4 linked regions of the Pelodiscus sinensis genome follow. The protein of the gene in region 2 interacts with the protein of the main gene of each other region in a biochemical or structural test. Links are inferred from orthologs where the notes say so. Each region holds a gene or a part of one and is shown on either strand. Other genes may lie near its edges. The genes, in order: NHERF1, PTEN, DNAJA1 and MAGI2.

Region 1 (7,069 bases), on a different chromosome or scaffold from region 2:
CAGCAAGTCCATTCTCTGGCAGTCGTAGCTTCTCTCTCTATTATCATGGGACTCCTTTGCCTCTTCTATTGTTCACGGTTTATTGTTTGCAAGTTACAGAATTAAATCTCAGTATTTTGGAGAGCAAATGTGTCCACCTAGTTCTTGGCCCAAGCAATTTCCAATTCTTTAGAGAAGAGAGAGGGTGTTGCTGGCTGGGTATCTGCAATGCAATATTTGCTGGGCATTAAATAAGTACAGCACAAGCCCTGGAATTTCTGGTGTGCGTCTGCCTAGCCCCTGTGACTTCACTGCACATTTCAGAAGTCCAAAGGTGATGGGGAAGAGTAAATATGGTCTGTTAAATTAAAACCAACCTCCTCCCCCTGCTGTTCTCATGGTACAGAGTCTAACATTCCCCAAATACCTTTGTCTTCCCACCAATGGAATTGCTTCTGTAGCTAAGCTGATGCTTGCAAAAAAGAGAGAGAGTTAGTTGGCTTTTTCTTTTAAATTCTTTTCGGTTTTGCATCCTAAATTTTGATCTTTCTTAACCTACTAAGCAGCTGCTGAAAAAAAAAACTCCACACTGACTGGGAGAAACCAGGAAGATTAAGATACTTGCAGCCAAATAAACATTAGGAAAGCTGTCACATTCTGCTTTATCATCAGTGCTCAAAGTTCCTGAACTGCGGGGTATGTGGTGTGTTTCTTTCCCTCCCTCTGGTGAATTTCACCTCCCTCCCTCTGTGCCTTTCTAAACCCTCCCCTGCCAGAACTGACTTGTATTTCATGGCTTATAAAAAGATTCCTGAAAAGCACATTTTTTGCTTGAAGAATTCCTTCAAATTGCACTACTTTTCAAGAAGCTGTCTGTCATGTTTGCAAAGCATGTGTTGTGGCTGGGTCTCATCTTTGGTAGCCTACTGGGACTGCTGAGTTACTCACCTAGCTATAAAGAAACTTAAAACTTTTTCTAGTTCCAGACTAACTCGGCTACCCTTCTCTAGCTATAGAGGTCCATTCTACAGGATCAACATCGTAGGTTTTAAACCCACCGCTGATAAACTTTAAAAAGGAGATAATTACCCATTGTGATTCCCAAGACTCCTTATAAGGCCTTTATTTCCACTCTGAAAAATACTCTTACTTCATAAAGGGCTCTCCTTAGAACTAAATTGGCTCTTTAGTCCTGTACCTGCCTTCTTGCAGTGAAATGCAAAGAAGATGGTCCACTTCCCTAAGGACATTGAGTTCATCCTGCTGGAATTGAAACTAGCAGTGATAGGGCACAGACAGGTCCGCATAAGTCCACTTTGCTGGATTTCCCAGTTGACATTGTCACTTTAGCTCTGTGTCTCTGTAATTCTGTTAAGCATAGTAATTGTATAAACCAGGGGTGGGGAACCTTTTTGGGACAGGAGCCACTAACCCACAGAAAAATCAATCGGGCTGCACAACTCCCCCCCCCCCCCCATTGACATGGCCCCTGACTGAGAAGACACCCACATTCCTCTCACACACCAGCGTTGGGGGTGGGAACAAGCCAAGTAGATTTTGTGTGCTCCAGCCCTGTAGTGGGGCCAGAGTGTCAGAACCAGCTCCCCAATGCAGGGGCCGGATTCAGGCAAGCCAGGGACTGCATCTCGCCATTCCCGATCTCTGGTATAAACCAACTGTAGGGGGCTTCATAAAAGCTTCCATCTATTCCACAGGAGCTTCTGTCCTTGCATTTTAAATTATGCTGAAGTTGTGGTAGTTTAGCAGACGACAGTGTTCATATATGATGGAAAAAGGGTCCCCAAAACTGACAAAAAACTAGTTTTAATTTGCATTTTAATTCCTTTAAGAAAACTGTTAGAGTTTTTTCTGCCTCTCTGTTTTAGCTCAGAGGGATTTTTGACCAGGCCTCAGAACAAAAGTAAAACCACCAGAGGTGCTCAGACTGTTCACTTTCACTTTTCGCTCTGCTGTTATACAGGGCAGGGCCTGGGGGTGGGATGAGGCATCACCAGAACAGGAAACCTGAGGGTGCACAACTGGTGTCAAATGCACAAAGTAAATGTATGGGAGGAGGGGGAATGTCTAATTTGACTCTTGTTTCAAGTGCTCATAGGGGTTACAAGCAATGTTCCCTGTAATCTTTTCCATCCCCATGCAGAGTTTTTTCCAGCCATGTGTGGAATAAATTTGTATGTGCACCACAGCGTGTATAAATGTGCACCATCAGGAGAAACACAAACCTAGCAGTGAGCGCTCTGCTTATCAGCTTAATGGCATTTGAATCTCTCCTGAGTGGCCACACAAGGGCCCAGCTTACTGGGAACACTGGTTACAAGTTACAATAGTAAGTGCAGCATTTTCAGATCTGAATGGCATTTTTTAAGTTGACTGTCCCTTCAAATGTTCTCTTTTAACATGTTAGACTCAATTAAATAGTGAGGATGCTGAGAAATGCTATGGTTCATCATTGCAAGATTTCTGCATTCTGTTACCTTCACAGTTAAGGAAAGAGTAAATGAAGTCTTATGGGGTATCATGTGCAAGGGACAGTCCATTGTAGATTCTTAAATGTATCCCCTGAATAATATAGTCTCAACAAAAAGCTGCTGCTCCCTTTTATCCTGCAAAATAAAACTGCTTTTATATTGAACAGTGTTATACTTAGTGTTTATCATAAAGATGATGCTGAGTTCTGTAAATGGCTCTCTCCTGATGCTGTTTGGAGTGGGTTTTACTTACACAGGCAGCACTAACCTCACACAGCTCTGCGGTTTCCACAAAGCCAAATTATGGATGAATAGACAAAGTCCAACTAGCAGAGTTGCAAAGGGAAATTCACGGGAACCTGATCTGGAATTTTGAGAAAGAGAGAAAAGTTCCCAGAACCTGCCCTGGCACCCATACAACCTTTACCAAAGGGGGGAAAGTCCCGTGATCTGTAAAGCTGTCAAACCACATGCAGAAACAGACTAGTGCCCTCTGCTATGACAGCACCAGCTCAGAGGCTATTCAGAGTCCATCTTCTCTCCCCAATTTTACTAAGGAATTTAGCATCTGATATGTCTCAACCCACATGATTCCTGTTGCTTTAGTAAATACACAATTCGATTGCTTCTGGTGGCCTAGATTCAGATCTGTTTTTTGTTACCCATTGTTCTCCTGTTCAAAAAATGCAGCCATCCAATCAGAGAGCAACCATGTGACCGAAGTGAAACCCCATCCTACACCCCGGAGAGTAATTAGTCAAAGACAGAATTAAAGCAGATCCCTCACGAACAGCCCATCAGCCTGAAAGCGGTTCACAGAAAGGGTGCTGTGAACTGGAGTAATGAATTGAATGGGTGAATAGGACCCAGCAGTTGTACCAGAGCGTTCTAAACCCGAAAGGATGGCTCTAATTGCAATTAATATGATTAGCAATCCCACCAGTTCCTAATGCGTGTAAAGCCCCAAACTACCAAGCTACTCGGTCACCGCCTTCAGTCCGATCGAGAGCCACTTGAACACAGCGCTGCTGGCAGACGCTCCTGGGAGAAAGGACTTGTCAGTTGCCAGTAAGCAGCTTGGGGTGTGTCATTGAGAAACAAGGATAAGTCAATGAGTCAACCCGCCCTCCCTTCATCACAGCAAGTCTTCCGGGACCAACATTCTGCCCCCCCGAGGAAGTCGCGGCAGCGCTCAGCTGGAGGCAGGCTGCAGGCTGGATGACTCAAGGCGCCCCACGCCTGCTTCTCTTAGACGCCTTGTCTCTGGGGGAACGAAGTGCCCCAGCCCTTCTGGAGAATCTTCGCTCTTGCGACTTCGGGCCACTTCTGCTTCCGGAGAGCTCAATTTGCACGCGGGAGGCTGAGCAGCCTGTCAAAAAACGTGGGGAAAGCGGAGGAGCGCGGGGGGGGGGGGGGGGGGGGAAGCGAGCCTCTTTCCTCTTATTTGCATAACCCCGCCTTCTCGAGGTTTGGATCCACTCTCGCACTTCACGAGCCGGGTCAGCGCCCCTCAGCTCCTCCCTCGCCTAACTCCGATTGGTCCGGCGTCACCTCCCAGCCCCCTCTTGCCCGCCCCCTGCTATAAAGGGCGGTGACAGGCGCTGAACTCAGACAGAGAGCGGGGCGGGGATTCGGGCGCTGCGCTGTGGTTGTCTCCCTGCTGGTGCGCGCTCTCTCCTCGGGCCAGACCCCGCCCCGGGGACACCTGCTGCCCGGAACCTCCCTGGGCTTTCCGGGTGTCTTCGCCCGGCGCTGGAGCGATCCGCCCGCGTCCTAGCGGGGCTGCGGCGGGCTCCTCTGATCCCTTTCCCCGCTCCCCCGGGAAGATGAGTGACGGGGCAGGGAGCGAGCAGCAGCTGCTGCCCCGGCTCTGCTGCCTGGAGAAGGGGCCGAACGGCTACGGCTTCCACTTGCACGGGGAGAAGGGCAAGGTGGGCCAGTTCATCCGGCTGGTGGAGCCCAACTCCCCGGCCCAGGCGGCGGGGCTGCGGGCCGGGGACCGGCTGGTGGAGGTGAACGGCGAGAACGTGGAGAAGGAAAGTCACCAGCAGGTAGTGAACCGCATCCGATCCGCCGTGGGCGCCGTGCGCCTGCTGGTGGTGGACGCGGAGACCGACCAGCAGCTGCAGAAGCTGGGCATCCAGTGCCGCGAGGAGCTGGTCCGGGGGCTGCCCGCCGCGGGGCAGGAGAAGCCGGAGGAGAAAAGTAACGAGGAGCCGCTGGAGACACCGAAGGAGCAGGAGGAGCGGCCAGAGGAGGAGGAGGAGGAGACGAGCCACCCTGCGGCGAGGGTAAATGTAGGTTCTTTCTGGGGAGGAGGGCGAGCCTTGGGGTCTAAGGGCGAACTGGAGCGGGAGAAGTAAAGGAGGCGGGAGACCGCCACGGTGCTCTGTGTGTGTGTGTGTGTGTGTGTGTGTGTGTGTGTGTGTGTGAATTAGGCAGAAGGGTGAAGAGTTCGTGCAGGTTGGGGCTAGGAGGGACAGGTTCTCAAGTAGCTCGAACTTTAACTGAAGTGCCCCTTTTAAAGAAAGGCCAACTTTGAAATCTAGCCTGTTAAGTAATAAGAATCTCAAGCATTCCATTGGCCCATGAAGCACTCTTCCTGTTGCTTTTTTACAAGCACACTTTCCAGTCTTTTCTTAAAAGTTTTGGGAAAGCAGTGGTAGACATGAAAATGAAGGGCAAATGAGAAAAAACAATAATGGAAGCAGAAGAATCCAGGCTACATACCATCCTCGAGGCTTAAACGTCTCTCTCCTGCTGCCACATGATAGAGGCAAACGGGAAACTGAAAGTCACTATTCAAAGTTCGTGGGAGTATTCAGGGGTCCTGGTCCTTGACTGGGTCCCCTCTTGTGCGAGGTGCTGCACAAAGTAAACAAGTGTGTGTGGGGGGCCGGGAAGGGGGGTGTTAAACTTTCCCTAGCTCACTTTTTTCATAGAAGGGTAAGGCTTTTGTTTGCCCCTCTTAAGCATCTTCTCTTGCCAGTAACCACTAGGACTGCATGGTGCCATGTTGCTGTAGTTGGGATATTTGAAATAAGATTACTTTTCAACAGAATCCACTTTCCTCTCAAGCATTGCAGTGAAAGTGGTGTAATTACTCTTACAGATATGGATGAGAGTCATGGTCGAACAACGCAAGGACTATTGCCTTCTCGGTGCTCATAGGACACTAATGCCACCCTTGCGTGCATGTATGGATGTGAAACTGAATGCTTCTCCTGCTTGTTAGAATTGTGTAGCTCTTAGTTGGTGGGGAGGCAAAAGAGATCAGCATCTCTGTTATGATGAGATGGGTTATTTGTCCAGGGCCCTCTAACTAGATCCTCAGGCATCCCAAAGTTAATTCAAATTTCTGTGGGCTTAGAGTCCTAGATTAGGGTTGAAAGACCTATAGAAGATCATCTAGTCCAACCCCAACTAAATGAATGTCGTAGGTTGTCATAGATCAGAAAGAACCAGTAGCTGGTGGCTAATTAGGAGGTGGGGAGCTAGTAGAGCTGCATTATCCTCTTTTAAATCTCGCTCGTTCTTTTTTGCTGTGATATGGTGGGTTTTTTTTTTTTTCCTTTTAAAAAAGGTGCAACCCCTCCCAAAAACCCTTGACAGTGGTCAGGCTGCTGGTGTGCTCTGACCAGTTTTTCATACTGACCGGTATCTTGTTTTGTTCGCTGCTCTATCCAATTAAAGATTGTAGTAAATTCTTCAGGGCAGGGATTCTGTCATTCTGCAGTGTCCTGAACAATGGGAGCTGGACCTCTCGGTGCTACTGACAGAAAACGATTAAAAACTAAATAAAAGGGATGGGGAACTTTGATTCATGCTGACTTAAGTCTTGGGTAAATGTGGAGGGGGAGAAGGGACTCTGGAACTGAGACTCAGCATCCTTTACTTACTTGGGGTAGTTACTAATAGAGGCTCTGCCTTCATGACCTAATGAATATTTATTTATATAATCAAAAATATGTACCTTGTTGTGAAGACTTCATGTTTTCACCCATCGGTGGTCCTCAAAGCTGAGTTCTCTTACTTAGGAAGGGAGAGATGAAAAATCTGAACTCTTGAAAGAAGCAGGGTCACTCCTTTATGATCAGCATAAACTTTCCATGTATACAATTCTGTAGCTGCCATAGTGGGTGCATTATTCATCAGAGCTTAAGGGTGAGAGGTGAGCCTGAAGAAGAGAACTGAAGGCTTAATTATCAAACAAAGATGTAAATAGGCCAAAATGGCTCAAAGTGAGAGTTTGAACTCTCAATAGAACGGTGTTGGTCCGATGTCCCAAAGAAGCTCCACTCCCCAACTTCAGTAAATTGAAGTCTCAGGTGCAAACACTATTTTTCTGAGTTCCAGCTCTGAACCTCTAATGCTCTAAAGCCTGGTTTTTTTTTTTTTTTGGGGGGGGGGGGTCACCTATCAGTTTGTGTTAATACAAGAAAACAACCTGTAGCGGGGGTAGGATCTAGAGAGGTGCTGTGAACTTTAGACTTGGACTCTGTAAAAGAGCAATCCCAATTACAGGCAGGGTGTTAGCTGGTGTGAGGAGGAGGAGCAGGGTGCCCTTAAGGAGATAAGTGAGGACAATGGATGGACTTTGG
Region 2 (8,014 bases):
GTGGATCCTGATCCACAAGGGAGTTGCAAGGGTATCACAAAGTTTTTTAGGGGGTGATCACAGTATTGCCACCTGTTGGCTACGTCTACACTGCTTCTTTCTTGTGCAAAAGCCTATGCAAATGAAGCATGGATTAGCATATTGCCATGCTTCTTTTGCATAATTAATTAGGAGCTGTTTTTGTGCAAGAGGTTTTTGTGCAAAAAGGAGCCATTTACACAGGAAGAACAGCTCTTGCACAAGCAGTGTTTTTTGTGCAAAAAAGCTCTGTGTAGACAGCTCCTTTTTGCACAAAAATCTCTTGTGCAAAACCAGCTCCTAATTATGCAAATGAAGCATGACAATATGCTAATCCGTGCTTCATTTGCATAGGCTTTTGCACAAGAAGGAAGCAGTCTAGACGTAGCCTTTCTTTGCTCCCTTCAGAGCTGGGCAGCCCAAAAGTGGCAACTGTTGGCCCAAGTACCCAGCTCCGAAGGCATTGCCCCACCACCTGAAACACAGAAGTAAGGATGGCAATATCATCTTACTTCTGCACTGTTGCTGTCAGAACTAGGTGGCTGGAAAGTGGCATCTGCTGACTGATGTCCCAGCTCCTCAGGCATCAGTGAAGAAGAGGGGATGGCAATATCATACCATGCCATCCTTATTCCTGTCTTGAGAGCTAGGCTTCCAGCCAGCACCTGCCTCTCTGCAGCAACCCAGCTGTGAAGGCAGCACCGCGTTATCAGCACAAGAGTAGCAGTACAACAGTCCCGTTCCCCCCCCCCCCCCCCCGCCCCGCCATAACTTTGTGGTCCTCACTCACTACTCTTTTTTTGGGTCAGGATCACGACAATTATAACACCATGAAGTTTCAGATTTAAGTAGCCACCTGTTGGCTACGTCTACACTGCTTCCTTCTTGTGCAAAAATGATTTACATTTTTCAAAATCTCATGACCATGAAGTTGACCAGAATGGGCCATGAATTTGGCAGGATCTATATATACGCTTTTCATGACATTAATTTCATGACTAATTTTCATAAAATCACAATTCAGAAGTGATATGGACAGAACCCCCAAGTCTTCTCATATGGCAAGTAATTGCCCATTCATAATCTACACACTGCACTCTGTCTCTGATGCTCTTTAACTACATATATAGTGGGAATGATGCAAAAATGAGAAGTGCAACTGGGTTGGGCATGGAAGAGATGAGGAAGAAATAGTTGGTGAATTGCAGTTGTTGATGTACTACTATTGTGCCCTGCTCTCTGTTCCTCCTGTCAGGATGAACTGACTCCTCTGGGACCTATGAGGCTGCAGGGGGCAGTAGGTGCCCATATACTAGCTCAGAAACTACAGCTGTCCTAGAGGTGATTCTTTAGAAAAATCAAACTAATGAATTGACATGACATGTTATACAAGTATTGCGAAAACATAGAAAAGCACTTTATCAGAAGTAGATATAACACATTGTTTGGTGGTTTATTTTCATATTACATTTCTCAGTAAAAATCAGGTTTTTATACAGATTTCATATTATAGTCACCTTTATTCTCATGCACAAGTTTTTAATTGCTATTGTTTGAAGCCTTTAATCATTTATGATACTTAATATCTCCTTCTTTACTCCTATTTTAGATAATAGAGTAGGAAAATACTTCAACTGCATTCTCTTTTCTGTTATGCTGATTGCATAATCATTCCAATGGGGTTGTGTTTCCATTTCTTGTTAGTTAACATTGTATATGTGGGGCGAGTATGCCTTATCTTTATGTAAATCTACATAGCAAGGTATCTGTTATGGGTATATGGTCCTGCTGCTTGTGGTTATTTTTACTCTTGCTTCCACTACCTATCATGCTGGTACGTCTTGTTTTAATGTTTTTAGCATCACTCTCTTAGGCTACATCTACACTGTGTACCTTAGAGCAGCACAGCTGTGCAATTACAGCCATACCATTGCTTCAGAGGGGTAGCCAAGTTAGTCTGTAATAGGAGAAACTTAAAAAAATAGTATGGTAGCACTTTAAAGACTAACAAAACATATAGATGGTATCATGAGCATAGCCCACTTCTTCAGATGACCACCATACCATTGTAAGGTATGCAACACAGTCCTTTGCTGGCAGGACAGAGCTCTCCTGCTGGCAAAAGAAAACCACCTCAATGAGGGACAGTAGCTTTGGTGGTAGGAGATGCTCTCCTGCTGACAGAGTGCTGGCCATAGTGGAACTTTCTGTAATTAAGATTATTTTTTTTGTCAGTTGGCATGTGTATGTTTCACACCCCTGACTAGCAGAAGTTTTATTGACAAAAGCGCAGTGCAGCCTGAATATCTAGGATCCTAACATAGCCTTAGCTGCAGGCTGGGTGCGAGAAGTGGGTGTGACAGACAGCAACTGAAGCTCTGATTTTTTTTTTGCAGAAAGATTCTGGCTGACTTACAAATGTTTCCTGTGCATAGGTAACAGGTGGTGCCATAACCCATGCCACAGACTGATCACACTCACTCACCCTAACTAGAAGTGACAACTCTGTTTCACAAATTCAGAAACTGTTTTCCTTCTGTATTTCCATAAAAACAGAATTGTATTGGAGGAAGGAGGTAGCATCAGTCTCCCTCTAGCTTGGTGCTTAAAGTACTGGTCTGGACTGTATGGCTATGGCTATATCTAGACTACAAGCCTCTTTCGAAAGACAGCATCTGGAGTACAAGCAGATTTTTCGAAAAAGCGAGCCACTTTTTTGAATTAGAGTCTAGACGCTCTTTTGAAAAAGCAGTTTGCCGTCAATAGTGTCTTTTTTAGAAACAGTACTTTCAAAAAAAGGCATTATTCCTTGTAAAATGAGGTTTACCATGATCAAAAAAACTGCTGTGTTTTTTATTTAGTTTCAAAAGAATGCAGCTGCAGTCTAGAGGCAGGTAAAGGTTTTTTGAAAAAAGGCTACTTATTTCCAAAAAACTCTGTAGTCTAGACACACCCTATGAGACCCTCACCCCCAATTACCTGCTGTGCTTGATTTAGAGCAAGGACCTGAACCTCCCCCACATCCCAGCTATGTAACCTAATCCACCCACCTGTAGATTCTCTGCCCAGGACCCAAAAACTTTTCAAATAAAAATTTAATGCAAACAAACACATTGCTATTAAAATTTTAATCTTAGTCAAAACAGTGTATTTTGCCAAACCATTTCAACCAACATCACTTCAGTTATTCCTAATATTACATGGTTTAATACAAATTATCTGCCAACCGCATCTGATTCTTTCTTCTCTTACACCTGATGCAGCCCCAGGACCACTACATTCAGGGATTGCTTTATTCCATGCAGCCAGCCATCCTTCAAGTTTTCCTATATAAACACTTCTCTTCTCTGGAATAACTTTCCTACCTGGGAGGATGATGCCCTCATATATTTTCAGTCTCTACATGGTGTTCCCAGCAACCAAGTGCTGCAGCATCTGCATCTAAAGCAGAATTCCAGGGACACTGATGACATCATCAGTATTTTTACAGTTTTGAAGAGCCATTCTCTTCTCCATTCCAATTACCTCTTCACCTTGACCTTGTTCCTCATCTTCTCCATCACCCTCCCCCTTCCTCTTTACCTTATCTCCATTCATTAAAAAACCCTAACCACCTTCCTTACAAAATAAAACGAATGGGCATGCCATTCGGTGTTCCTGCAGTGTTCACTGGGGGTCGGCACCATATCCATTCTCCAGCGCTTAGTCCGATCTGTCAGGTTCATTCAGATTCTTGGGCCAGGCCCGGTTTGCTCTACGTGAACAGCATTTACTACAGTGGAGCTCGGCTTCTCAGCTGCTCCCTAACGCTAGGATCATACCGCCAGCCACAGAAGCTGCCTGCAGTGCTAGCTCCGCACTGGACACAGCACCTTGCCTCGTTCCCGGGGGCTAGGAAGAAATGCGGCGGGCAGGTACCCAGATCACGCTGCACCTACCCCACCGCGGGGGCCCACGCGTCCCGGATCTGCCCAAACCCCGCAGATCTACGCGCCCGAGAGAAGCCCATCAGCGGCCAGGCTCCCGCTCCCGATCGAACGCGAGTTGTGCTCCGCCAGGGGGGGTGAAGTGGGAAGCGCCGGCGCAGGCAGAAAAGGGCCCCAACCAGCCCCACGTGACTCCACAGGGAAGTAGCTCCGACGCGGTCGTAACGTGAATTTATCCTTCCGCCACCCTGTGGCCGGGTCGCCGTTGGCACGCCGGGACGGCTCTTCCACTTCCCTCATCACGACCGCCGCGTTTTCCCGGGGTGCAGGAGCGAGCCGAGGAGCGGGCGGTGCCGCGGATGGGAGGAGTGGTGGTAACAGCGGCAGCGGGACGCTGATGTGGCGGGACTATTTCGCCTTAGCGGCGGAGGAGGCGGGGGGCGGAGCCAGGCCCCTCTCCTCTCGGAAGCTGCAGCCATGATGGAAGTTTGAGGCGCTCAGTGTCGCTGGGGCGCGGAGGAGGCCGGGGCCGATGAGAGCGGGCAGCCTGCAGCCCCGCACGCACCGCAGCGCCTGAGCCCGCGCGGTCTCGCTCCTCGGTGTGAGGCGCCTCCGGACGCGCCGCCTTCTCCCGCGAGGCCGGGAGCGCCCGCCCGGCTGCGCGGCCCCATCGCGCGGGCTCCGCCGCCGCCCCGGGCGGGGAGCTGAGCTGAGCGGGACGGGGGGGCCCGAGTCGCTGTCACCATTTCTGGGGCCCGGCGCGCTGGAGAGTTCCCCTCTCCGCCTCCATCGCCTCAAAGACGGCGGCGGCGGCGGCGGCACACTCAGGGACCTGGGCCGACTCTAAACCCTTCCGCCGCCGCCGCCGCGGCTCCGGCGCCGCTCTGGGCAGCTGGGGAAGGAGGGAGCCGCCGCCGCCGCCGGGAGCCGCCGCCGCTGCAGGGGGAGGAGGGTTCGCCGCTTCCCCCATCTTCAGCCGCCGCTTGCGGGCCTGGGGCTGAGCCGCAGAGGCAGGCCCTGTCCACGGTGCCATCCAGCAGCAGCAGCCATTACCCGGCCGCCGTCCAGAGCCCAGCGGCCGCCGCTGCAGCGGGGAGTGGGAAACCAGTCACAGCCGAGCTTAGGGCCATCTGCAGCCCGCCGCTGCAGAAGCCGTCGCAGCTGCCGAGCCTGTCCTCGCTATTCCTGAGTAGCCCCCGGCTCCCAGACATGACCGCCATCATCAAAGAGATCGTCAGCAGGAACAAAAGGAGATATCAGGAGGATGGCTTCGACTTAGATCTAACCTGTATCCTCGCCCGGCCCGCGCTAGCGTTTGGCTCGCCGTTTCTCTGGGTGCCTTGATCATCTCCCCAGCGACCTGTAGTGTTAATGCTGAGCAGGGATGTGTGTCTGTTTCTCCCCCCCCCGCTCTTCTCCAGGGCTGCCATATTCCTGACTGAATTTGCTGTTCTCTCCAGTGCAGCCAGAGCCCAGTTGGGCAGGCTGAGCGCTCGGCCTAGGCCCAGCACCCGGGATAGAGATGAGATTAAAATGGAAATGAATGCTGCACGTACAGCAATTGCATCAGATTCTTACAGTAATTATGTAGTGTGCCTGCTCGTGTTTTTTGTGTATTTGTGTTCGGCATAATTATTTTGAGCACTATCAGATTTAAAAAGTCAGATGTGCGGCTAGGTTTCTGCAGTTACTGTAATTGGAAGTTGGTCAGTTTTTAGCAACCATATTGCTTTGTTTCATGAAACTAAAGCATTATGTTGTAGAAAAAGCAACATCCTAGGTCGGTTGTTGTCTGTCTTCCAGTTGATTGATGTAGATTGGGGTATGAACATTACCTGCTTGATAGTTGTTGTTTTAGATTCTATTATGTAGTTCAGAATAGAGGTTGAATAGTTATTTGGTCAGTAATTATGATGTCATGCAGATTGAGTATTATCTGTAGTAAATGGTGATTGCAAAGATTAACAGTAGTACTCGTTTGAAATCAAAGCATTCTAGTAGGACCTGTATTGACACTTTTGCTTTAGGTGTCATGTACTAGATACAGTGATGTCATTGCTCATGTTCAGCATAATGCCATTTAAAATAGAGCCTCTTACCTTGATGTTTGATTTTTAGCTCAAATATAAAATGTAATCATTCTACTGTACTGCAAATAGTGATGCCTTTTTCAATTAGTAATTCAGCATTTCGAATTGGAAACATAATTTTAGTGGGCATGTGACTTATCTGCTATTTTCTTGTTCTTTGCATAAATAGATACAAAATATGTGTTGTGCAGTGAATGAAGCATACTTTTCCAGTTTTTAACTAAAACATACGTTGTATATAAATGACAAGAATGTAAGAAAATAACTATTAATTTAAAAATTGCGTCTCTTTAAAGAACACCAGTTTCTTCACTCAACCATATTTTACACTGGTAGACTTTGTGTGCATTGACTTACCCATGGATTAGGACATTTCACAAACAAAAATAGTGGATGAGGTTCCTTTTTTTCTGCTGTCCGATATGTTTTGGGAACTCTTGAGAAATGTAGTGTTCGGGGACATGTAATCTAGCTGCATTAGGATTAGCAAGTCAAACCATGGAGCATTAAAAGGAACTGCATAGCCTTTGAACAGATGTACTATAGCAGCAACAGCAGACAGATGTCTGGCTTTGAATATGTGCTGCAAAGTTAATGGTATATAAGATTGTATTGTAACAGATTAAACTATCAGAATTAAGTTCTGTTACTTGTCACAGATACTATTAACTAAACGTAGAATTTGTTATTTATGAAGTAGTTTTAGTGCTTAAGTAATGAATATGGTATTCATTTTCAGAAGGAGGTTCTGATTTAGAATGGTTTTACAGTAGGGTTAAGATCAGCTTATTGCTCTTCTGACTGTGAGCAGAATTGCATCACAGGTACTGGATTTCTGTATGGAGAGAGAAAAGTGCCTGTAGTACAGAATATCTACTGTTACATTGATTTGGGACTCAAACTAAATATTTGAAGACTTAAATGTGTGATCCCATGAAGTGACCATTTAGCTTTTTTTTAATTACCTGCTGCTTAGTAAAATATTTCGGTTTTAGTAAATATTTTTTCTTTCATTGGGAACATATTGATCAATTAATGGGTTGCTATTTCAGAATTTCATTTTAGTTCTTTAAACTTTTTTGTTTTTCTGTGATGTGTATAGTAATACATACCTGCATTTTCAAGTTAGTATTATAAAACCTGCAAGATTGATATCTGCTCTGAAATATAGCTTACAGACTTTAGTTTATTTGCTACACTAAATGATGTACTTACTGATTTCTTCTATAATGCTGGTAAACACGGAAAACCAATAGCAAGAAACCTAATTTCATACTTCCCAGTTCTAGGGTTTGTTTGTAAAATACTTTGTCATAATGGCATACTGTAACAAAGCAGAATTTCATTTTAGCAGAATTTCATTTTAACTATTCATCTGCACATATATCTATCTATTTTTTACTTGCCAAGAAGAATCTTGTAATTTAGTTAGTGATTTTACTCATCAAGCTCAGAGTTTTGAAGAATACATTAGGTATAGTTACAAAATGTATTTTCTTTTCTGACTTAATAAATAGTTCTATGAACTCTTTCCTTTTTAGATTTACCTTGGAGGACATAACAAATTAAACTAGAAATTGGCTATTTAAGCTCATAGAAAGATTGGTTTTAGCAATAGTTCAGATTAAATGAAATAATATCAAAGTAATATGAAATATTTTCCCATAAGATTCTATATTTTCTGTAGACTATTTTGAACAATGGAAGAAGGCTCTATGTAGTAAATAAGCCCTAATTGAAAGTATTGGTGAGCATTTGGGTTTTATAACTTTTTGTGAATCCTGCACAGGGAGACCTTTGACAAAGTTGTTAATGGGTAGTTAGTTTTGTCTAATGCCTCAAAAGTTATACTGTTTTCTCCTTTACATGAATTAGGAATTAAGTTAAATCTGCAGACTAACCTTGGTTAATCTTCAGGATGTAAATGGTTAACTGGTAACCCTCACCCTTAATGGGTATGGCTTACTGATTCTGGTTAAT
Region 3 (7,869 bases), on a different chromosome or scaffold from region 2:
GGGTGCCAGTGGGGACAGAATTCTGTAGCTGGGGATGGGAATGGGGACAGAGTTTTGTAGCTGGGGACAGGGGAGTAGGGTCTGGGGAGCACAGACAGGAGACAGGGTGCCAGTGGCAGCAGAGTCCCCTCCATCTGCCTCCTCCCAGGATTCCCCCCCCCCCCCCCCCCCCCCCGCAGAGGGAAGCCAGCACATTCCTCCTCCAGGCCTGACTCCCGCACCCCCTGCGGCACAGGGAAACCCCACGCGTGCCTGCCCTGGGGCCAAACCCCCTCTCCCACGGTGCGGCCAAACCCTGTGGGCGCCTTCCCCGGGGCCAAGCCGCCTCTCTTGCAGCGGGGCCAAACCCCCACGGGTGCCTCCCCAGGCCAAACCCCGGGGCCAATCCGCACAGGGAAATCCCTACGCTCAAGTCACTCCCTTTTCTGGAATCTCTCCTGTCTCCCATGTTTTTCCAAAGGTGATAGCTAGAGGGTCAGATACCGCCTCTATCAGCTCTTTGAGTATTCTACGATACATTTCATCAGGCCCTGATGTATCTCTAAAATGAGCAGTCATGGGCTGAAGTGGGTTTTGTTCACGAAAGCGCATGATAGACTAGCATATATATCTATACAGTGATTCCTCATTTAACACTATAGATATGTTTCAAAAAATGATGGTGTTAAGTGAAAATGTGTTATGTGGGGTCAATTTTCCCATTGAAAATAATGGAAAAGGTGGGGGTTGCGGTTCAAGCAGTGGTGTCTGTTGGGTCCGGGATATAAGGTTGGGGAGAAAGGGGACTGGGTTACAGCAGGGAGGGGGAGGTGTTTGGCTCTGGGGAAGAGGAGAGGAGAAGGGGACTGGGTTGGAAGTATGCCCCTGTGCTGGGTCTGCTGGGACGTGCACTGCAGTGCGGGGGGGAGGGGGGTGCCGGGGAATGGCACAGTAAGCTGCGAACCCTCTGCCACTTTGCAAGGAGGCGGGGGAAGCCCTGCGCAGCCACCAGTGATAGGCCAGCTGGGGAAACCCCTAACTGCCAGCCTGCAAGCAGCGCGGGGGGGGAGGGGGGGGGGCGCAAGGCGTCCAGCGAGGGGTAGTCAGCGGGAATGGCGCAGCGAGCAGTGAACCCTCCTCCGCTTTGCAGGAAGATGGGGAAGCCCTGCGCAGCCACTGGCAACAGGCCGGCTGGGGAAATAGTGTTATTCTGGGAACGGTCATGTACTTCAAAAATGTTCCCAAAATTGTGCTATCGCAAAAATGTGTTAAGCGGACACACATTAAGTGAGGAATTACTATAGTAAGGACTACTTTTTATTAAAGTTAGATTGTAACATGCCTATCCCACAGAGACTGATTAACATACCTTCACATTTATCACAGATCACATTCTTTTGCAGAGCCAGTTTTCTTGTTGCACCATTGTACAAGTCTTCCAAAGATACTGACAACTGATGAACAACATTTTTACCTGTAAAGAGAATATGGTCTTATTTTAAAATAGTAATTAACTTAGAATTACAATATGTCAATCCTTTTCAGTGACTAATTAAGCAAAGCTTAGTACTAAGGTCTTTGCTTAAAGATACTGCAAACTTTTTTCCAATATTTGAGAGCCCGGCTCATTACCATCTGCAAAGAGGGCACAAAAATCAAACCTTAACCCTATGCCTGGTTATAGAATATTAACTAAAACAGCTTTTTATTTAAAAACTTAATCTCCTCTATGCTAGCATTTAAAACATTGGTTTTAGAACAGTGCCTTTTTAGATATTGTTTTATCATTGTAATGATCATTTTAGACACTGCTACATAGCATGAAAAGCCTTATTTGTAAAAAGGTGCAGCTTAAACACATAAGTATCTATAGCCTTATACTAGGTACTACAGGATGTGTGACTAACAAGAAAATACTTCAGCAGCAAAGAGTCCCTTAGGCAGTACCAGAGAAAGTGAAATTACCTCTGCGCTCTCTCTGCATTCTTCCACCTCCTCCAAAGAACATATCAAAAATATCCATGGGTGACCCAAAACTGCTGCCAGTACCACCCTCTTTAATAGCCTGCTCACCACCTTTGTCATACAAGTCTCTCTTCTTTGGATCAGAAAGCACTTCGTATGCTTGCGAGATCTGCTTGAACTGCAAGAAACACCAGAGTAAGTGCTGGGCGTGGGGACGAGGTAGCCCCGGGCCAGTGCCCGGCGAGCCCGGCCCCACTTGCCTTCTCGCCCTCGTTGGGGTTCTTGTCGGGGTGGTACTTGAGCGCCAGCTTGCGATAGGCCTTCTTCAGCTCCTCCTGCGTGGCGCCCGGCTTCACCCCCAGCACGTCGTAGTACGTCGTCTCCTTCACCATGGCGCCGGCCTGCGGGAGCCCGCCGTCAGCCAACACCGGCCGCCCCTCGGGCCCGGGCTGGGGGAACGGGGGCAGCGGCCGGCGGGGGGGGGGGGGCGAGGCAGCGAGACCGGGGGGGAGGGGGGCGGGAGAGGGGCAGAGGCAGCGAGACGGGGGGGGGGGAGGGGCAGCGGCCGGCGCGGGGGGGGGGGCGGGAGAGGGGCAGCGAGACTGGGGGGGGGGCAGGGGAGCAGCGACCGGCGCGGGGGGAGGGGGGCGGGAGAGGGGCAGAGGCAGCGAGACGGGGGGGAGGGGGCAGCGACCGGCGCGGGGGGAGGGGGCACCGAGACCGGGGGGGAGCGGAGGGGGGCAGCGGCAGCGCGGGGGGGGGGCGGGAGAGGGGCAGAGGCAGCGAGACCGGGGGAGAGGGGGGGTAGCGGCCGGCGGGGGGCAGCGAGACCGGGGGGGGAGGGGCAGCGGCCGGCGCGGGGGGGGGGGGGGAGAAAAGGCGGCAGCGGGGGCCGGCCCCACTCACCGGGCAGGGCTTGGCGAGCTCCGGGCTTCTCAGCTGCTTCGGCCGCTCGAGACCCTTCTGGAAAGTTCTCTATGAGCCGGTCGCTCCTTCCGGGGACTTTTGTAGCCGCAGAAGCTCCACCCCGGAAGTCCCGCCCCCTCGGTTTCCCGGCCGAATCAAGGATGGGGACGGGCCAGGCGGAGGAGAGCCAATCTTTGGCTTGGCTCCCGGGACTACAACCCCCAGCATGCCGTGCGAGCCCCAAGCTGTGCGCGTGCAGTGGAGCGCTGGGTGTAGGGGCGGGACACAGCGGGACGCGCCCCAGCAGCCGGTGTCGGGCGGGGTTGTGAGTGGCACGCGGCGGAGCGCGCGCCAGGGCCTGTTTCCTGTGAACACTCCCAGCCCGCAGGCAGCGCGCGCGGCAAGGCGAGGGCGTATCACGTGACCCCCTCCCCCCCGCCCGCTGCTGCTGGCTCTGCCCGCCCTCCAGCGAGGGACGGGGCTTCCGAAAGCGCCTGCGCACAACTTCTGGGATGCGCCGTGGCCCGGATCTGATTGGTGGGGCGGACGCAGGCGTGTGACGCTGGCAGCGAGACGGTGACTGGCCCTGCCCGCGGGGCGCCGAGGGGGGGGCAGTGCCGGGGGTGAGGGGGGCAGGCGAGGGAGGGGGGGCAGTGCCGGGGGTGAGGGGGGCAGGCGAGGGAGGGAGGGGGGGCAGTGCCGGGGGTGAGGGGGGCAGGTGAGGGAGGGAGGGGGGGCAGTGCCGGGGGTGAGGGGGGCAGGCGAGGGAGGGAGGGAGGGGGGCAGGCGAGGGGGGGCAGTGCCGGGGGTGAGGGGGGCAGGCGAGGGAGGGAGGGAGGGAGGGGGGCAGGCGAGGGGGGGCAGTGCCGGGGGTGAGGGGGGCAGGCGAGGGAGGGAGGGAGGGGAGCAGGCGAGGGGGGGCAGTGCCGGGGGTGAGGGGGGCAGGCGAGGGAGGGAGGGAGGGGGGGCAGTGCCGGGGGTGAGGGGGGCAGGCGAGGGAGGGAGGGGGGCAGGTGAGGGGGGCAGGCGAGGGAGGGAGGGGGGCAGGTGAGGGGGGGCAGTGCCGGGGGTGAGGGGGGCAGGCGAGGGAGGGAGGGGGGCAGGTGAGGGGGGCAGGCGAGGGAGGGAGGGGGGCAGGTGAGGGGGGGCAGTGCCGGGGGTGAGGGGGGCAGGCGAGGGAGGGAGGGGGGCAGGTGAGGGGGGCAGGCGAGGGAGGGGGGGCAGGTGAAGGAGAGGGGGGGCAGTGCCGCGGGTGAGGGGGGCAGTTGAGGGAGGGGGGGCAGGTGAGGGAGAGGGGGGCAGTGCCAGAGCGAGGGGTGCAGGTGAGGGAGAGAAGGGGGTGGGGATGAGGGGGCCAGGCGAGGGAGAGGAGGGGCGGGGGTGAGAGGAGCAGGTGAGGGCGGGGCAGTGCCGGGGGTGAGGGGGGCAGGCGAGGGAGAGTAGGGGGCGGGCAGTGCCGGGGGTGAGGGGAGCAGGCGAGGGAGGGGGCGGGGGTGAGGGGGGCAGGTGAGGGAGAGGAGGGGGCGGGCAGGCAGTGTCGGGGCGAGGGGTGAAGAAACTTGCATTAATTGTATCCTTTGGTATATATGGTTGTGACTATTTTCTTCCACTATTTGATCTGAGGAAGTGGGTCTGGCCCACAAAAGCTCATCACCTATTGAACCATCTTGTTAGTCTTTCAAGTGCTACATAGTCCTGCATTTTGCTTCAGCTACCCCAGACTAACACGGCTACATTTCTATTACCATTCTAATTAAGGCCTTCATTGTATGGGTCAACTCTGTCACTTTCTTTGGCATAGTTATAAGTTATATAGTCTAGGTTAAACTGAAAAGGAACACGTTTCAGTCAGAACACATTGGAAGTGCCCAGGCAAAAGTTTGCACCAATTTCACTGAATCACTAAGTCTGCTTTAAAAAATGTTTCTTACATTGGTAAGCTATAACAGTTTAAGTTATGGTGTGAATTTAAACTGGCATAGTTATCCTTTTATAACTTCTCCTGTTGACACTAGGGATGTAAACTCACGGTTAATCAGTTAAACCTTAGGTTTTACCAGTTAACTCATTAACTTGGATCCACTAGTAGTCCTAAGCACAGGGGAACTGACTTCTGCTTTTACTGCGCCTTCCCAAATGGAGCGGCTGGCTCTTCCTCCCTCCTTCTCTCTGTACAGCGGTGCCAGCTGTGAGAAGGCGGCTGCTCCCTGGTACTGGTTCATCAGTATGCATCATGCAGCAAGGGTGATGCTTACCAGGTAACTGGTTAACTGGCCACCTGTCACATCCCTAGATTGCACAGACTCATTCTAGCATAAGGATGGGTTTTGTCAGTTTAGCTTAATGTCATAAATTAAGCCAGTAAAGGTGTAAATGTCCCCCTGGAAGGTTTTACTGGTAAAACTAAAAGTATAACTTGGAAGCAGCCATGCTGCTGCTGTCTCGTGTTGTGTGGCAGAGAACAAAATTAACATTACGGATGTTAGTGGGTAGTCATCTACATGAATAACCGATAGGCCTGGGCTTATCGGTTAATCTTAACAACTACATACTTCCCCCTCCCCTTGCTATCTCTGTATCAGAGGCAGCAAAAAGTGGGAGAGGTGGGAAATGGTGCCTATTGGGGCATATCAGCTGCTGCTGAGCTCCCTGCTCCTGCCCGTGCTGCTGCCTCCCACAGAGCAAGCAGGAGCTGGTATGTGGGGAGATCCAGCTTTTAAGACAGCTCTGTGCGCATGCCTGCTCTGCAGTGGCAGAGGCAGCAGTGTGGGGGTAGGGGAGCAGGCTGGAGCCGGTATGTATGGGAATCCAGATCTCCACACATCTTGGCTCCTGAGCAGATGGGAGCCGATGCATGCAGAGAACCAGCTTTGACGCCAGCTCCCTTCGCATATTGGTTCCTGTCAAGCGGCTCCCCTCTCTCTCTTCCCCCCCATCCCTATAACAGAGGCAGCAGGAGGGAGGGAACAGGAGCTGGCACTTGCAATGAGTGAGCTGAAAAGCCAGCTCCCCACGAGCACCACCTCCCTCTTCCTCCCAAACTTGAAAAAAATTCTGCTGAAAATTTCAGCGGATACACATTTACACAAATAAATGCATTTTAATATCCCTAAGTAACATACACAATAGCCCAGTGCACCATATAGCTGTGTTTTTACTGCTGAAATAAATGGTGTTCTATAGGAATCAGTACTAGGACCAATCCCATTGCATACTTTTGTCATTGTTCTGCCAATAAATGTAAAATCACTGCTAGTAACATATGAAGATGACACCAATATTGGCAAAGTAGTAAATGATGCTAAGGCTAGGTTTTTCATACAGAAACATCTGGACCATTGGATAAGCTGTGTCCATTAAAACAAAACATTTAATGCAGCCAAATGTGACGGTATACATCTAGGAACAAAAAATATAGGCTATCCCTGTAGAATGGTGTACTATATCCTAGAAGGCAATTTTTCTGAAAAGGAGGTAGGGGTTATGGTGGACAAGTGATATATAGTGTAGTAAAATCCTACTGAATAAAACTTGCTATTGGAACTTACAGAAGTGGCCACAGTGGCAAATCTAAAAATGAATGTGATGTGTCTATAAAAACAATATATATAGGCAGCCTAATGTTGTATCAGCTGATTGGAGAAATATGGGTATCGCTCAACATGATAAACAAATATGTACTGAATAATGTAAACTTGGTGTGTATAATAGTAAATATTTTGCATTTCAGCATCTTTCTGTGGGAGATGCTATCAAACCACTACATAGATAATTAAATAAGGCCTTGAAATATCTCTTATTAGTACCATTTTGTAGAGAAGGATAATAAGTCACAGCAACGTTAAGCAAATTAGCCAACGTCATGCAGCCAATTAGTGGACTGGCAATAGAAACAAGAACTTCTGATGCCCAATCCTGTAGTCAGCCACGGGATCTTGATCCCTATCTGATTGTAATCCTGTCTATGTCCTCTTATTTATTTCACAGTGCAATCATGCGGGTGTGCTGGCTAGTGAGGAAAGATAAATGCTGTCAGCGAATCAAATTGCCACACTTAGAAACAACAGTAATAGGGCGTGGCCCAGAGACCGAAATAACAGACAAGAAATGTTCAAGGCAACAGGGTAAGTAATAGCTTCAGTGTACACACAACTGCTAGTTTGAAAACAGCTAAGTAGTTAAAAAACTAGGGCTGACAATTAATGGCAATTGACTTGTGACTAACTCAAAAATCATGATAAAATGCAGTTTTAATCCCACTGCTAAACAATAGAACGCCAATAGAAATTTATTAAATAGTTTTGACGTTTTTCTGTGTTTTCAAATATATTGACTTCAGTCACAGCAAAAATAGTGTAAAATGCTCACTTTATATTACTTTGGTTTACAAATATTTGCACTATAAAAATAGTATTTTTCAATGCACATTGATGTACCGCAGTTCTTGTAATCTCTATAGCATGAAAGGGCAATTTACAAATGGAGATTTTTGTTGTTGTTGTTACATAACAGTACTCAAAAACAAAACAGCGAAAGACTGCAAGTTCATTCAGTCCTGCTTCTTGTTCACCCAACTGCTAAGACAAGTTTGTTTATGTTTATAGGGAGTAATGCTGCCTGCTTCTTATTTACGATGTCACCTGAAAGACATTTTCCTCATTTATTGAGGAAGATCGGCTTTTCGAAAAAAGGGAGGGAGCCGCCGAAAAAGCCATGTTTAAACTACTTTCACTTTTGAAAGCTCTGCTTTCAAAAGTGAGATCGGAAAATGATATGCAAATTCCCATGGAATTTGCATATCCTCTTTCGACACTCTAGGGTAGTGTAGATGAGCCCTAGATGTTGCTGTTGTAGCTGGCATTGCAAGGTATTTAAGAACTAGTTATGCTAAACATTTGTATGCCCCTTCATGCTTTGGTTACTATTCCAGAGGACATGCTTCCCTGTTGATGATGCCCATTTAAAAAAATGTGTTCATTATGTTTGTGACTGAACTCCTTGGAGGAGAATTGTATGCCT
Region 4 (7,925 bases), on a different chromosome or scaffold from region 2:
TTTACAAGTAACTTCTTGTGTTGTTCTTATATATACCCCTACCTCTGTAATTTCCACTCCCAGTCATCTGATGATGTGGGTTTTACCCACGAAAGCTTATGCCCTGATAAATCTGTTAGTGTCTAAGACTACATCTACACTACAACATTATTTCAGGATACTGGAGTATCCTGAAATAGCTATTCTGTGTCTTCACAGCAAGCCCGTTATTTCCAGATATAACAGGCTTGCTATTCCAACGTCCCTATAAACCTCATTCCATGAGGAGTAAGGAACATTTCAGAATAGCCGATTATTTTGAAATTTGGCACTGTATAGACTATTGGCACTGTTTAAGCTATTTTGAAATAAGAGTGAAATAAGATACGCACTTTGCGTAGTTCAAATTGCGTATCTTATTTTGAGCTACGGTGCAGTGCAGAAGCACCCTAAGGTACCACAGGACTCTTCATTGTTTTTGCAGATACAGACTAACATGGCTACCTCTCTGAGACCTTTTACATTTATTTAGAAGCTGAAACACTATAGCAGGTTTCATGGAGCACAGAGCCCAAAGGTGACCCAGTACAACAACGTAGAATTGCTTTAAGTCTTTTCCCTTTCTCATCTTTACTTGTTGCATCAACTATTATGTCTCCTTGACTTCTGTCCTTCAAAATGTGACTTACAATACACTGCTGTACTCTGAATTTACCAATATGCCAGCTTAATATACAGTGTATAAATACCAGGTTATGTCAGTTGTTTGGAGATGTGACCTCACTGTAAACAATTGAACACACAGTAATATCCTTATGGAGACTAACTCAAAGTCAAACAGAATCTTCCCACTGATTTTAGGGAGCTTTGGATCAGGCCAATAATATTTTTCAAGCATTTGAATCTCATTGAAATTGAATCTCATTGAAATCTCATTGAAAACCACCATGAATAACAGGCCATCCACTAAAATGATGAAACTCAACTACAAAATTATACTAAGGAAGAATCTGGGGCAGCTGACACAGCTGTCCATTTTGCCCCCCAATCTGTACCAAGGTTGCCTTTTTTGGAGATAGAATACTGGCACTGAACTTATTTCCACCGCAGTATTAACTGGATTCCTATGGCTGAGCCTGAAATGCCTTAGTCTCCTTTCTCCCCCCCCACACACACAATCAACCACTGCATCATCATTATCAAGGCACCACTTATGAATGTGGTTGTCACTGGAGTTTACAACTGTTCTGCTCTGCCACCACTTCTCTGAGTGTCAGAAAACTGTTCCAAACCTTCTGTTACCCTCCCCTACCTGCCAATTTAGTTGAAAGGGCAGAAAGGGGTTACACGGAAAATCTAGTATCTTTAATCATATTCACTTTCCTGGAATTCTGTTAAACTACTCCAGGACTTATATATATTTATTTTTTTTAAAGGGGAAACAGATGACCAGTTAAAGTTTATGGTTCTGTCCTCTAACTTCCCTCCGGCTCCTGCAGCGAGCACCCTTTCCTCTCTGGTGTCAGGATATGAAATCCCCTTTCCCCAGCACCAGGCGATTGTTTTCATCGGAGATAAAGTGGAGGATTTTTCCTACAATGATACTGTACGGAAGCTAAAGCCGCCCTAAGGTGTCAGGGACCTGCCAAGCAGCAGCAAGTCACTACCTCCAGGGGAACACGCCCAGTGTCAAGCGGAGCCAAGGGTACCAGCTCCCAAAGCCAGCCTCCAGGCCACTTTCTCTAGATATGAAAGACTACGCTAGGGACGGCCAAAGCCCTATTGCTCCTTCTGGCTACGCGGCGCAGCGTGGTGCCCTGCATGGCCACAGCGTTACTCGATGCTAATGCTCCTCAACGCCTGTCACAAGGTTTGGCTCCTCGCCTCCCTCTCAGTGCTGCGGCTCCCTATGCGTGTTGGAGGCGCCGCGAGCTGCTTGCCTGACCCGGGATCCCAAGCTCCCCACCCCTGGCCCCGGCTCTGCCTGCAGCACCTCAGGGGGTGCCTGTGCGCCCCGGCCCGGCCCTAGCAAAGTTTGGCCGCCTCCCGCCCCCTGCAACCGCGGCAGCCTGTCACTGACGCACATTTAATTCCTCCAAGCACACAGGGCGCCGCTGCCCCTCGCAGCCTCCCCGGGGCCAGGTGCTGGACCCTGCCCAGAAAGGGGGGGTGTCAAAGTGCCGGAACAAAGTTACACGCCCCGCGGCGGGGTCTGCGGGCTGTCTCCCCTCCCCCACGGCACCCCATCTCCTCGCCACTCCCGGGCTGCGCCCTTCCCAGGCGCTGTCCCCGCTGCGCCCCGGCTCCTTGTCACCCCGTCCGGTCCGCCCCTGGCCCGCCCGCCGAGGCGCAGCAGGCACGCGGCAGCTGGCCCTTACCTTGCTTGACACACTTGAGCCGGATGGGGTCCTTGCAGTGCTTGATCACGGCCAGCACATCCCTGATGGTGAGCCCGGCCACGGGGGTCTCGTTCACCTCCAGCAGCAGCTCCTCCGGCACCAACTTGCTGCCGCTCTCATAGGCCACCTTGCCGGGCTTCACCTCCCCCAGGTACGGGAACTGCCCGTTCTCCGCTCCCCCTTTCAGCTCAAAGCCCAGCTGCCCCTCTTGGTTCCTGCCTAGGACAATCTCGTGGACTCTGCTCGTCCAGTGGCTTTTCTTTTTCAAGCCCTTGGACATTGCAGTGGGGATGGGCTGGCGGAGTCTCCCCGGCGTGCTGGGTGCTGGTCCGGAGCCTGGCTCCTTTTTGGGGCGGGGGGCTGGGTCCGGGGCTGCGGCGGCTCCCGGCCGGCTGCAAGGCACCGCAGGGGCCGTGGCCGCCGGGCGGCGAGGAGGATGGAGAGGTGGGGAGTGGGGGTGACTCTGCCCGTGCCTGGCTGTCAGTCTGGGTGTGTTTAGCGGATGGCCATGGCAGCTGCGGCAGCCGGGACCCTGGGAGTGCGAGTGTGTGTGTGCACTAGTTGTACAGTAAGTGGCAGCGGGGAAGGAGGGAGGGGAGCGGGCGGGGAGGGAGGGAGGGATGGAGACGGCCCGGAGAGGAGGAGGGGGAGGAGCAGGACTGTGTGTGCTGGGGGAGGGGGGTGTCTGATCACGCTCGCCTCCAGCCTGACCCGGTAGTGAAGACCCAGAGAGAGGCTGGCTGGCACGGCGGGGAGAAGGCGGAGAGCAGCCGGGCTGGGTGGGGAGGAAAGGGAGGCCCCGGGAGCTGCAGCCTCCCCACCCGGCCTGGCGCCCGGCCGAGCCGCGGACGGGGAAAGGGCAGCAACCCCTGCAGCGGGCGGGCAGGGAGCGAGCGGGTGACAGCGCGGGGGGCCCTCCCCTTTGCAGCCCGGGAGGGATGGAGCGGGACGGGCCCCGCCAGCCGGGATCCCATCGCTGAAGCTCCGACCCCCCGCGGGTCCCGGACCAGGCCTGCCCGCTCTGCGGCACGGCTGCCCAGTGCAGCGCGTAGCCACGGCACCCACCTCCCTCCCGGCTCCCTCTGCACCCCTAGCGCCCCCTGGCCTCGACCCAGCGCCCGGCCGCTCATCCGACCCCGGAGCACCTGGGTACAGCAGCGCTGACCTCCAGCCCCATTCCCTACTGCCCAGTGCCCATATCACCCCAGAGCCGCTCCCTGCCTGGCCCCAATTCCACTCCCACCCCTGCTGAGGGGTCTCTGTGGGCACAGGGGCATCACAGCCATAAGCAACTGCAGCCTCAGAGCTGCCTAGCTTCCACTCCCTCCTGCTGCCTGTGACTGCCAGTCACTGCTCCTTGTTTGCCAGGTTACATTGGGAGTTCCCCAGGGCAGGGAATGTGGCTTCTGTTGCTGCCAAGTGCCTGGCCCCTTTGTGGGCCTATGCTACAAGCAACAATGGTGGAACAGGAAGGAGAAAGTGAAGAAATCCTCTCCTGCATCCTGCCTTTACCTACATTCCCTGCCTATCCTCTTGCTCCTAGTCACCCATTGATAGAGCAAAAATGATCCGCAGAGATCTGCATCAATATCCACGGATATGGATATCCACAAATATAAAGTGGGTATCTGCAAATCTGCAGATATGGATGTAGATATCCACAGCTAATGTTGGCGGATGCAGATATAAATTGTGTGTGGATATCTTGCACATTTGCAGATACCCACTTTATATCTGTGGATATCCATATCCGTGGATATTGATGCAGATATCTGCGGATCATTTTTGCAGATATGGATACAGATTCACATTTTGTGTCCACACAGGTCTCTACCATTGAGTCAATTCAGCTCAGTCCCTTAAAGCAAAACATGGGAATAATGTGGTGGGGCCAGGAAGGGTGATCCAGTTATTAGGATGGTAGCATTTGATTTCTGGAGACCTGGCTTCATCTCTCTGCTCTGCCACAGATTCCTGTGTGAGGGGGCAAGTCACTGAGGTCCAGATCCTCAGAGTTATTTAGGTGCATAAATCAGTGGATGTTAGGCACTTAGGCTGTGTCTAGACTACATGGCTCCATCAATGGAACCATATAGATTAGGGTTGTAGGCAAAGGGAAATTAAGCGGCGATTTAAATAATCGCCGCTTCATTTAAATTTAAATGGCTGCCGCGCTGAACTGACAAACAGCTGATCAGGATATGATGAGGATATGAATGCAGGTACATGTGAATTGGATGCAGAATTAGAAATAGCTGATCAGCTGTTTGTCGGCTCAGCGCGCTAGTCTGAACGCTCCGCGGTTGACATCAAAGCCCTTTGTCGACCACCCCGTTATTCCTCGTGGGATGAGGTTTACCGGGGCGGTCGACAAAGGGCTTTGATGTCAACCGCAGAGAGTCCAGACTAGTGCGCTGAGCCGACAAACAGCTGATCAGCTGTTTGTTGGCTCAGCGCGGCAGCCATTTAAATTTAAATGAAGCAGCGATTATTTAAATTGCTGCTTCATTTCCCTTTGCCCAATAAACAAATCTACATGGCTCTGTCGACAGAGCCATGTAGTGTAGACGTACCATTAGATACCTCTGGGGAGTTAAAACAGGTTAACAGCACTTCCCAATTTAGCTTGAGGAATAGCATATTAAAGACTTTGAGATGCTAAGACACTATGCTATAGAGGAGCTATAAATCCATCTAAAATAGTGAATTGGATGCTTTGAAAAATCAGTAAATGGATTTGGAATATGTAGTTATGAAATTAGATGTTCTTGGCTTGAGCAAGCTTCAAATGGTGGCAAGACGAACGTGACAGCTATGAATCTTGAGGCCCCATTAATATGTTTAGTCATAACTGCTCTGAATTTACACAGAACCCTGTAGTGCCTCTAGGTTTAGTGACTCCCAAACTTACAGTTTATTGGATACTATTGCCATAGAACAAGTTTTCTAAGCCTGGTTACCATGATGCCAGGGGAAAGGGAGGTTCCACCCCCATCAAAGTTCAGGTGGACTTTGCCTGGTGAAGAGAGTATGGGACAAGTGCAAGTTTGAGAAGAATAGGGAACATCAGCAGGATAGATGAGTGAATGGTTTGTGGGACCCTGCCCTCTCTGTTACCTGTCAGCCCTCAACCTTCACACTCCTTGCCACAACTTTCTGGATTATCCAGGCTGCCCAGTGCTCCCTGATTCCAAGCACTCCAGCTGTTCAACACCATGCTATCCTTGCCTCACATTGAGCTGACCCTCACTGCTTAAGTTTTGCTGCTTTAACACCCTCTGATCTGTACTTCCCCCACACTCAGATGTAGAATTTTCTAGCATGAAAATGAAGAAATGCATCCACCCCTGGGCTTTATAGACAAATGTATGAATGTCTCACTTCCTAAAGAAATGGATTTCCCTACTAAGTAAAGACTGACCAAACATGGACAGGGAAAACTCCATACTTTAGCTGAAACGTTGGTTGACCTAGCCTTTAAAAGGCAAGAGATTTCCTCTCACCTCATCTACATGGGTGTACTATGTGCATGTGCAGAATGGAAGAATGATGAGGATATGAATGCAGGTACATGTGAATTGGATGCAGAATGAATGAAGGGTGGGATATAGTATGCGTGGAAGAGATTACTGTAGTTTAGAAGTTGTAAAATGTTTTTGAAATGTTAATGGAAAAAATGGCACTATTTGTCAATGAAATTTTTCACAGAAATGTGTTGTTTTTTGACTATCTCTATTGCACTAGCACATGGGTGCAAATTAAATGGGTACCCGTGGAAGGGTACAGTGGTACAACAAGCAAAGAACAAAGACCTTGATCCTACAAGCTGTTTAATATGGACTTCAGAGGGATTCTGTGTGGGTGAAGGAATCCACTCACATGGGGCAGTTTGCAGGTTTGGGGCCAAAGGAAAAGGAAAGAGAAAAGAACCATAGAAAAATTAAAATAAAAACATAAAATAGCAGTAAAAGGGTGAATGGCTTTTCCCCCTGACCCACCACTCTATTGTTTTGCTTTCTAGTTGTGAAAAAAGAGAAAGCATGTAAATAGCTGAGAATAGGGAGTAAGAAGCCTCATCCTTTTGACCCACCTTGAGCTTCCAAAATCTTACATATATCTTCACTGAAAGCCTCAGCCCTATAAAAAGTGTCCTAATTTTTTCATTAAGAAAATGCGGTCACCCTGTTAATATGGGAACAGCAGTCATGAGCTACAGATAATAAAGATTCAATTTATAAATAACCTAATATTCACCAGAACACACACACACAGAGAGAGAGAGAGCTCTGACACCTGCCAGTGCTCTGGCTTACTAGAAGTTTCCCTGGAATAATAGCTTGTATCTGTTATTAACTTAAAACATATTTGTCAGAGGTGGGGAAGAGGACTGCATTATATTTCCCCATCAATAGGCCCCAAGATTAATTTAGCTTTAATCATTGGGGTTATTTAAGATTTCCAGAATTAGTTAAAATCAAGCTGACATTAACTGTAGCAAACTATTGTGCTACATATCCCTCTCCTGTCTATTAAAAGAGTCTGTAGGTTCCATTTTAAATATATTGCTAGCAGTATGAATCTGTTTGAGATAGTAATTTGTAACTCCTTTAGATTTGTATCACTTTGATTTATCCTGCTATAGTTGTAAAACAGATAGGGCTTGTCCAGAAGCCGTATCCCAGAACAGAGTGGAGTGGGATTGGGGTTTGGGGTAATTGGATTAACTTTGCCTTTGTAAGTGCCCAACAGTGTCCTTTGCTCCACATGCAGAGAGCTTTTTCCACAGATGAATCCTGTTTTCCAGCAATGTCGTGTGTATAGTGAGGGCATAAAGATGTGCATGAGGGGAAGGAGTGAACAGTGTGTATGTTGGGGATCATGCCAAGTGGGGTACATATTGTCCCCATACTGGGCCTGTGAAGATCAGGGTAGAAGCACACTTGGGGATGTATTATCTTTCCACAGCCCTCTTTAACAGTTCCAGGAGCAATTGCAGGCTGGGTAGCAGATTCAACGAAGTTGCCCCATCAGGGACTAGAGAGGTAAGGATCAATTCCAAACACAGTGGTTACGTCTAGACTGGCATGATTTTCCGGAAATGCTTTTAATGGAAAAGTTTTTCGTTAAAAGCATTTTCGGAAAAGAGCATCTAGATTGGCACGGATGCTTTTCCGCAAAAGCACTTTTGCACAAAAAAGCCCAGATTGCCATTTTCGCGATCAGGGCTTTTTTGCGCAAAACAAATCTCAGCTGTCTACACTGGCCCTTTTGCCCGAACGGGAGCAGCATAGTATTTCCGCAAAAAGCACTGATTCCGTACATGAGATCATCAGTGTTCTTGCGGAAATTCAAGTGGCCAGTGTAGACAGCTGGCAAGTTTTTCCGCAAAAGCAGCTGCTTTTGCGGAAAAACTTGCCAGTCTAGACACAGCCAGTTAGTGTAGAGATTTGAGGCCTCTCTGCAGGTGGTTTGGTCTCCCCTGGGATCCAAACTTGTAACCTTTTCTACTTGGAGAAATCTTGGGTCTCCGAGGATACATTTATACTC

Evidence for each region.
Region 1: the proteins of PTEN (region 2) and NHERF1 form a complex in vitro, tested with the Homo sapiens proteins (3 studies listed by BioGRID and IntAct). The link is inferred for Pelodiscus sinensis from reciprocal best matches to the Homo sapiens genes PTEN and NHERF1.
Region 3: the proteins of PTEN (region 2) and DNAJA1 form a complex in vitro, tested with the Homo sapiens proteins (2 studies listed by BioGRID). The link is inferred for Pelodiscus sinensis from reciprocal best matches to the Homo sapiens genes PTEN and DNAJA1.
Region 4: the proteins of PTEN (region 2) and MAGI2 form a complex in vitro, tested with the Homo sapiens proteins (2 studies listed by BioGRID and IntAct, with this or other methods). The link is inferred for Pelodiscus sinensis from reciprocal best matches to the Homo sapiens genes PTEN and MAGI2.

The regions. Positions count from the first base shown.
Region 1 is NC_134730.1:13,341,631-13,348,699, reverse strand, and holds the start of NHERF1 (Na(+)/H(+) exchange regulatory cofactor NHE-RF1), read left to right. Parts: upstream 1-4,063; 5' UTR 4,064-4,294; coding exon 4,295-4,765; intron 4,766-7,069. UniProt on the Homo sapiens protein: Scaffold protein that connects plasma membrane proteins with members of the ezrin/moesin/radixin family and thereby helps to link them to the actin cytoskeleton and to regulate their surface expression. Necessary for recycling of internalized ADRB2.
Region 2 is NC_134718.1:38,724,823-38,732,836, forward strand, and holds the start of PTEN (phosphatidylinositol 3,4,5-trisphosphate 3-phosphatase and dual-specificity protein phosphatase PTEN), read left to right. Parts: upstream 1-5,010; 5' UTR 5,011-5,153; coding exon 5,154-5,232; intron 5,233-8,014. UniProt on the Homo sapiens protein: Dual-specificity protein phosphatase, dephosphorylating tyrosine-, serine- and threonine-phosphorylated proteins.
Region 3 is NC_134716.1:16,782-24,650, reverse strand, and holds the start of DNAJA1 (dnaJ homolog subfamily A member 1), read right to left. Parts: upstream 3,004-7,869; 5' UTR 2,851-3,003; intron 2,346-2,850; 5' UTR 2,337-2,345; coding exon 2,205-2,336; intron 2,123-2,204; coding exon 1,945-2,122; intron 1,454-1,944; coding exon 1,349-1,453; intron 1-1,348. Other genes in the region: APTX (aprataxin), read left to right, coding at 4,987-5,108, 6,838-6,974.
Region 4 is NC_134711.1:21,274,070-21,281,994, reverse strand, and holds the start of MAGI2 (membrane-associated guanylate kinase, WW and PDZ domain-containing protein 2), read right to left. Parts: upstream 3,008-7,925; 5' UTR 2,659-3,007; coding exon 2,358-2,658; intron 1-2,357. UniProt on the Homo sapiens protein: Seems to act as a scaffold molecule at synaptic junctions by assembling neurotransmitter receptors and cell adhesion proteins. Plays a role in nerve growth factor (NGF)-induced recruitment of RAPGEF2 to late endosomes and neurite outgrowth.